Tribolium castaneum: one gene and its partner. The protein of the gene in region 2 interacts with the protein of the main gene of each other region in a pairwise test. Links are inferred from orthologs where the notes say so. Each region holds a gene or a part of one and is shown on either strand. Other genes may lie near its edges.

Region 1 (4,171 bases), on a different chromosome or scaffold from region 2:
AATTTTCCAGGCTTAAATCGTGTTTTGTAATATAAAAGTGGCATTATTTTAGGATTTTAGTTGTCTCTCCTCTTGATCAAATGGTCTAACTAGCACGTTTAGGTAATTAAGTAGCACATTTTACACAACTGGATTATTTGTATAGCCTGATTGATGTATTTTGTATAAATTTGTTTACGATTGATTGATTGCTTGTAGTGGTCTAAGTATATATTTTTTTAAAACGATTTTATTTTGTTGTTTTTCTCAATGGTGCAGGTCGGACGGTTGGCTTGACGGGCGCAAGTGCTAATCGCTCCGATGCAATCTAATTTCATTGTGATAAGTAGCAAAGTTTTGTTCTTCCGTCAAAGACCCGATTGGTGCACAATTGCATTTCTAATTTATTTGTTTTTGTTGACTGTAGATAATTGTTTAGTAACAGTCTTTGGTACAGCTGTCGTAGTTGTGTAACGAAACTGATAGTGGATGCTTGAGTCAATAATGCAATTTATTTATTTAAATGATGGAAATTATATTCTAATAAACTAATACAAATTTCCTGTTTGTTTCCCTCATTGTTGCCGAAAATTTTTCACCCTTATAGGAAAAAAATCACTGAATTTTTGAGGAAAAATTCTCCAGCCTTAGTGAGTTTGTTTTTGGTTATTTGGAGACATTTTAAGGAAAGTGACTTGAGTTAAAAATGCAGTTTATTTATTAAATGCTGGAAATTATATTCAAATAAACTAATACATATCTCGTGCTGGTTTCGCTCAATTGTTGCGAATGCCGAGTGCTTGCTCCAGTTCGGCCCTTTTTTGCTGCACCTTGGTGTAGAAATAGCGACACACGGCTTCTTGCGCCCACGGTTGGTAGAAAAAGTCGGACCTCCGCTCCTCTTCAGGATTGCCCACCACATCGGTCATACACTAGAACAAACGTGCGGAAAATGCCACTTTTCCACCCTAATACACTCACTTTCCATACCTTCAAATCCCTGGTTTGTGACACGATCCACTTGTAAATAAACTGTTGCGGATCTTTGGCAAAACTCAAGAAAAACTCACGATTTGTTTTCAATTGATTAATCGTATCGACAGTTTCGTGAATTTTCGCATCCAAACCTTGGATCTCCTGCTGACTAGCTGTGCTCAACAGGAAATTATTCATCTGAGTTTTGAGCGTATCGTCCACCTCCACGTCAATATCGTAGCAGGCGGTTTGCTTGCTTTCGGCCCCGCCCTCCACCGAGATCACGTGATTGATGACGATAGGGTCCGGTGGGTGGAGCAACGGGTTTAAACGTTGGGGGATTTCCGCAAATTTCATCCGAGGACACCCGAAGATCTGCTCGAGATATTTATCACACACGATGTATTCGCGTTCGTGGGCGTCTTGCAATCGGTGCGTTTTTATATACTGCCATAGGGCGGAGATGATAACGGGGCGTGTCTGCGTGTGCACGCCCAATAAACGGGCCAATCGCGGGTCGAGTTTGAATTGTAGCGGTTGGTAGTCGAGTAACAAAAGAATAGTGCACCGCACATTCTTATCCCCAGGTCTCTTGACCTGGAAACCGTCTGTTTCTTGAGTTGTTAAGGTACGGTGCCATTCCACCAAGTGGTTATCAGGACCGTACAACTCCTTATCGAGCTCAATCACCAACGATTTGAAAAATGACGAAAATTTGCGTTTGACTTTATTGGGGTCACTTTTCGAGTCGTCTAAAAGGCGGCCCTCGACTCGCAACTCCCAAGAGGCCACGGAGCCCTCTTGTCCAGGGCCGTCTGGGCCCTCGGCGCACGCCTCTTTGGCTGGATAAAACGTGTTAGAGATGAAAATCCTCAATTTGCGTTTTTGTTTCATTGGACGTTTTAACGCCTCTTGAATATCCAACCGTTTTCTCATTATGGTCGAGTCTAATTTACGCTCAAACGCGAGTAAATCCATGTAGGCCTGGCTTTCGGGCACCAAATCTCTGACTTTTTGGGGCAAAATCTTGTCGGAAAGCTTCTTCTTTTTCTTGGTTCCATGTGGGTAATCACTGCCAACAGCGTAAACGATTTTTTCGAACAAATACAAATATTTGAAATAAATAAAAATAACAATTCTGTATACTCCCAATTGCTTACCTCTTTTGCTGCATGACGGCCCTGTTGTCCGGGGGCCGTTTAACGCCCGGCTGGGGCGGCATGGGCCCCCCTCGCATGGGCGAATAGGGGGCTTGAGGGGGCCGCGGCATCATAGCGCCCGGCTGGGCCCCCATGTTCGGGGGCGGGGTGTTGTACCCTGTCCGTTGCTATAGTGCGAATTAGAAATAATTGGGTGGAAAATGGGGAAACTCACCGGAAAATTCTGGGCTGGGTACTGGCGCATTCCCGGATTTTGGGGCGGGTAACGCTGGGGTGGGGGCCCCCCGGGACCTTGGGGCGGCACGGGGCCCGCGAAACGCTGGGCCATGGCCTTTTATCACTTCTTAAGCACAAAAAACACACAGATGCGTCCCCAGTTGCCCAGTTTCGGTCTTGTGTGTTTGGTGGGTTTGGTGACGAAGGTGTGCGTGGACGAAATTGTTAATTTGATAAGGAATTATCAATAGTAAATGTGTGATTAAGAACGGTTTTGCGACCTTTGGGTTTATTGAATCAAAGTTTGGGAAAAAAATACGAAAAAGGTGTGAATTCACTATTAGGTTTTGTGAACATTGTGAGATTGTGACCAGTTGAGCTACTAGTAGGGGTACCAACACCGTTGTTTTTCCGTATTTTGTTTAAAAATTTTCAGAAAGGTTGTTGGGTTGTTTACGCGTGTTGTTGTGGGTGTTTTGGGGCCCGTGGGGTTGTTGCCGGTGGTCAAATGAATTTATTTTCGCATTTTTTGTGTTTGGTTGCCGGCCTGGTGACAGAAGAACCATGATGGCGTCGCTGTTTATTATGTGAGAACTTCACATAAAAATTGGTTAAAAAACCCCGAAAAACTCACAACAAAATGTAAAAACAGTAATTTTTGGTCAGAATGCCTGAAAAGCCACGTGTCCATGCAATCAAGCTTTGAGCCAAACCTAGTAAGTGCCCCCAACCAAATAACCTTGATGTTTATTTACCCCTTACTCCTAGGTAGAAAATGGGTTGTGTTAGCAGCAAGCCCGACATAAACGATCAACACCCGAACATTTTCGACGTATCCAACGTCAACGACCAAGGCGACTTGGTGAGCCCCGGCAAGCTCGAAGTCCGGGAAACTGAACTAGTCCTACACCAAAGAGGCAAAAACCCCACAGTGTGGCCCCTCAGGTCGCTGCGCAAGTACGGCTTCGACTCGGAAATTTTCAGTTTCGAGTGCGGTCGCAGGTGCCCCACTGGCCAAGGCATTTATGCGTTTAGGTGCCGCAAGGCTGAGCAACTTTTCAATATCGTCCAACATCACATTGTACGTAATTCCGACGAGAACCCCCTTATTAACGCCATTTCGGACTTTCCGGCCGTTTCCACGGGGCCCCCTGTGCAGCGACGCGCCCCGTCCCAGCCCGAGGGCTATCTCAATCCGGTGGGGGCCCCCAGGCCGAGTCTGAGCCGCCCTGGGTCCATCACCAGCAACGGCCCGGTGAGCCCCACGACGGCCGAGTCGACGCACGAACACAATAATAATAAGAGGGGCAGTTTGGGGGACCACCAGTACACCAATTCCAGTGTTATTACTGAGTTGGAGGCTCCCAATTATGCCAACTTAGGCGCCGCAGCCCCCGAGGGGTAAGTTGCTAAAGTCCCAGATTTATTTCATTTAGGGCGCTTTTACCGATTTTTTTTACACATTTTTGTCAGTTAGATTGAAATTTTGCTAAATAAACAGCTTTGCCAACTGTGCCACTTTTATATTTTTTTTCTTCGGTGAATAATTTATAATTTTCTGCCTTTAAATAATAATAAGTTGGTGATAAATTAAAAATTTTAATTTGGCAGTTTTGATTTAAATAAAAATAAAGTCACTGGGTATTTAGATGTGGGGAGGAGCTGCGCCCCCTTGTGGAGAGTCCGTGCCACCTGTACATGAATGTGGACACCGTTGGAACCAAAGACTCGGATCCTTCCGAGGACAACGCAAGACATTGCTACGCCAATATAGACACCAAAGATTTAGAACATTTAAGGCCGCTTTTGTCGGGGGCGGAGGCGCCAAGTGTGCCCCAAAC
Region 2 (4,453 bases):
GAACTTGTTTTTCGAGTCGATGCATTTTAGCTGGTAATTTATGATTGCAGATGCCTGGACGCGGTGACACTTTTGCCGGATTTACATACATTTTAACGTATTAGCATCGCCTGTTTCGTGTTATTAGACACATAAATTTCAACAACAAAGCAACATTTTATGCTTATGACCCACCAGTCACGCAGTGGCACATTTAATTCAATTTACAAAGCCGTAAAATTTTCAGAAAAAACCCTAGAGACACAGCCACAACGTCACTATCCGCGAATCTAGACACAGGTGTCCTTCTAAGTCGGGATGAGCTTTTACCCATCTCTTATCCCTTTACGACCAACTACCATTACCAAGTGCTTCGAAAAATTACCAGATTACGGGCAGTAAAAGCATCCTAAACCCAAACTCTCAAATAATGCTGATAAGATAAATGGGAATATTTTTCCAGGAAGTCAGATTTCGGACAAAACATCGAAATCATTGGTCTTTAAATCCAAACAAAACTGTATATGTATTTAATTTTAAAATTTACTAAATTATTACTTATATTTCGTACTATTATTTAAATTTTAAATAAATAAAACAACAAAATGTGTGTTTACAATGGATTTATTTCAACCGTAGCAACTGATATAAAATATAAAGTTCGAAATCCAGTACAATTTAGAAAACAACAAATAGTTTTTTTGAATTTTAAACAATTGTTAGGTTTATGCTCAGCCTAAGACATTATCATACATTCAAAAAACAATATATTAATTAATTACAAAAAAAAACAAGAAAACCATTCCATAACACATTGATTTTCAAACAGCACCTTTATACCTGCGACTTAATATTTTCACAGAAAAGGTCTTTGACATCTCTTTCGTAGTAATGCTTCCTAATAAGCTGACTTTAAGTAGTATAATTCTTGTAAATTTTTACGTTCCCTCCAAAAATGATTCAATTTAAAACTGGTGTTTTCCCCTATCCCCTTATTTTCATATTATGTTCAGATACTTACGCATACACAAAACAATTAACGTATTGTTTATTTGTTTAATCTTTCTTGGCACAAATTATTTTATAACAGTTCAACAACAAAAAAGGTAAATGAATGATGACAATGAAAATACTAATCAAATCGATTAATGTTTCTAATAAAATTATTGTTGTATTTACTTTTGTTTTATTACTAGATTATTTTACCATCCTATATAAAAAATCGAAAAATTGTACGCATCAGCATTTAATAAAGATAATAACTAAATCAGAATCATACTAACAAAAGTGTTAACACAATTTATAACTTCATTTATATGTGATTCAAACAAGATGATAGAAAAATTTAATTTGTAACTGTGTTACAAATTAAATTTTGTTCAAGCATGTCTGAAACGAGCTTTACGAGCTGATACAAAATATGAGGTCAATATATTTTGTTTTCAAGAGAACATGTATAAGCTTTAATGACTTCATTAAAAAAGCTTTTAAGCACGCTCTAACATAAAACAGGTAATGAAAATAAATTTTATTAAAAAAATGGTACAACATTCTTTCTACAGAGACTTTTTTTAACTCTAAAAATAGTCACCATGTTACCAATAATACGAAAAATAATAATTATTTGATGTCAAGTTGTTTGAAGTTTATTTTAGTGAAAAGATAATCCTTTGTAATCCGGCATTTCCCCTAAAAAAATATAAATTGCTTTTGCTTTGAAAAGAACCGAATTGTTATTTGTTTCTTGCCAGTGGTGGCGCAACTCCTGGGGGTAGGAGGTAGTGAATCAAAAAAATACGTTCGTCAAAAAAAAACTAAAACTATGCAAAAATAAAGGTTAATAAATGTCCAGTGTTTAAAAATAATCAGTTTTTAAAGATACTAATCTTAACTGAGGGCTGAAAAGATAATCCTTTGTGATCTGGCATTTCTCTTAAAAAAATATACTCGTACCACCAATTTCGTTATTTAGTGAAATTTGTCGGCTCAAAAAAAGTGGAAATAGAATGACAAAAAAATACGTGCGTTTTTAACGTGGCTCACAATCTAGGAAGTCATGTTGGTACAAGCTCAACTTAAGTTTTATCTTCAAGCTTCTAAATATCACAATAAAATCTTAAGTATCTTTCATTATTACAGTTAGCTATGAAAAAATTATGACTCAAATCATGGAAGATTTATGTATTCCTCGATCGGTCATGAAATTTCCCATAAAACTCTAATCGAATCCAGGCATCCAAAGCGTGAGAGCCTGTAAGCCCCAATTATAAAATTTAATGTCCTCGCTCCCCTCCGCTCCAAAATCAATATACCCGCACCCAGATTTGGTTAAATCGGCAAAAATAACCTAAAAACGTTGAGATAACACGAGCGGATAACCTCAATTTCTAAAATCACGATGCTCCAACGAATTCGAGCAAGATAAGCAATTAACACGGAATTAAAATCGGTCCTGTAAAAAGTCCCTCGGACGTCATTCCTTTATCGGCGATCAGCTGAGACCGAGTGTCAACAACCGCAAAGGCCCTTAGGCCGGCCCTGTCCACTTACCAGGGGTCAATTTTTGGCTGACGACATCGGGAAAGACGGACTTGGGCTTGGGGGAGGAGGAGGTGGCCGGAGGCGAAGCCCTGTCTCTGTGCGTGGGGCTCTCGCAGAAGGGAATGCAGCGCCTGCGTTTGGCCGGACGGCCCCCCAGCACGGGCTCCCAATCCAAGGAACGTTTCAGAGTAGCGCACGCCATTTTTAGTTCTGTCGCTAACACTTCACACACAAAACAAACTTTGTTTCACAGGCTATCGCGAATTTGCTATGTACAAAACCGAAATTGCACTTGGACACTTATGCAGCGGTACTTTTACCCCGAAACTTGTCCATGAAAGGGGAATGGTCGACGATTTCATGCGCACCCAACGACCAATATGGCGAAACGAAATAAGAGAAGTGACATTTTGTGAACGGCAGAGTGGGCTGTGATGAATATACGGTTACCATTGGCTTGCGCGACTCTGCGCATGCTTTGTACCCTGGCGACATCTCCCGGGACCAAAGATCTTCGCGTTTTTTCAAAATTAATTGGGCTAATTTAAAGGCAATTACGCAAATTTCCGTCTAACAACGGCTAAAACGAATGTATCATGAAATCGCTTGCTACCTTATGCCATTTTTAGGCACGTTACTGTTGCTTTTGCTTTGAAAAGAACCGAATTGTTACTTGTTTCTTGCCAGTGGTGGCGCAACACCTGGGGGTAGGGGGTAGTGAATCAAAAAAGTGCGTTCGGCAAAAAAAAAACTATGCAAAAATAAAGTCCAGTGTTTAAAAATAATCAGTTTTTAAAGATACTAATCTTAACTGAGGGCTGAAAGAAAGCAAATCCGTGTAATATAGACATTTTTTTATTAAATACTTTTTATCCAAATATGATACCAATATGCCTCAACAATAAAATCACATAATCTTAAATCTTAACATAAAATATACTATCCAATTTATATATTATACTTAGCTCTTAATAATATTTGGCATATATATTAAAATGTACAGAGCTGATATTTTGTATAGCATAGGACTTTGCCAGATTCCTACAACAAACCAAGCTAAATATTATTGTCAAAGAAAAACCGGTGACGGAACCAAAAACCGTTCGCACACGTCTGTGTGCAGTGTGTTTCAAACGTAAGAGGCACGGAATAAACAACAATGTGAGTGGTTCATTTAAAAACTGTCTAATCTGCACAAAACCCTGTTCAACACGAACACAGCTCAAAAGCGTATTAAGATATCATAAGTCGTAGTTCTACAACATCCTTGCTTTTAGTCGACCCCATTGTACCGTTCAACTGAACACTTACGATTACTAGAATTTAGAAATTTTAACAAGAAATCACAAGTATATTATCTCCCTTAAAAACTAGCAACGGCTGAAGCGCGTCCAGGATTTTTTAACATATCACAGCTAGCGCCAGAAACAAGTCAAACAATGATACGTTTTGATAATTGACTTGCGACGAGTATTTTCATGATTTCGAGCGAGAAAGAAACAATATTCAACACTGGGCTAAGGGTCACATTTAGACATCGCCACTTAATTCTAAACCGATATTAGAAGAAATCCTGAACGACTTCGAGTCACCTTGATCTACGGTTCAAAGTTCAACAAATAATCTTTCAGCTGATTGGGCAGATTCAGTTTGTTAATGTAGAGTCCCGGTCTGCGCCCGAGACAGTTGTGTATTTTAACGCGGCAGATCTGTTTCAGACTTCTTGGTCTTTTGTATAAATCTCTAATAATACAGGTCAACGGCTCAGTCATTTTCCCCGGTACCAAACTCAACTGCTGAGTGTGCAAAATCTTCAGACATTCGAATAGCGGCTTGTGTTGCATTATAAAATAAAATAACATGATTATTTTCGAAAAGCTCATGTTCGGGTCCATTATGAGATTCTCTTTACGCGATATAAGCATTATGTAAT

The links.
Region 1: the proteins of akirin (region 2) and Bap60 interact in binary tests that used the Drosophila melanogaster proteins (3 or more experiments, as listed by UniProt). The link is inferred for Tribolium castaneum from reciprocal best matches to the Drosophila melanogaster genes akirin and Bap60.

The regions. Positions count from the first base shown.
Region 1 is NC_087395.1:25,851,882-25,856,052, forward strand, and holds Bap60 (brahma-associated protein of 60 kDa), read right to left. Parts: upstream 2,660-4,171; 5' UTR 2,443-2,659; coding exon 2,329-2,442; intron 2,282-2,328; coding exon 2,115-2,281; intron 2,027-2,114; coding exon 961-2,026; intron 912-960; coding exon 756-911; 3' UTR 675-755; downstream 1-674. Other genes in the region: fibroblast growth factor receptor substrate 3, read left to right, coding at 3,106-3,731, 3,980-4,171. UniProt on the Drosophila melanogaster protein: Involved in the recruitment and site-specific anchoring of the Brahma complex at specific promoter sites.
Region 2 is NC_087398.1:5,661,341-5,665,793, forward strand, and holds the start of akirin (akirin), read right to left. Parts: upstream 2,968-4,453; 5' UTR 2,723-2,967; coding exon 2,530-2,722; intron 1-2,529. Other genes in the region: ankyrin-3, read right to left, coding at 4,119-4,453. UniProt on the Drosophila melanogaster protein: Molecular adapter that acts as a bridge between a variety of multiprotein complexes, and which is required for embryonic development and for normal innate immune response.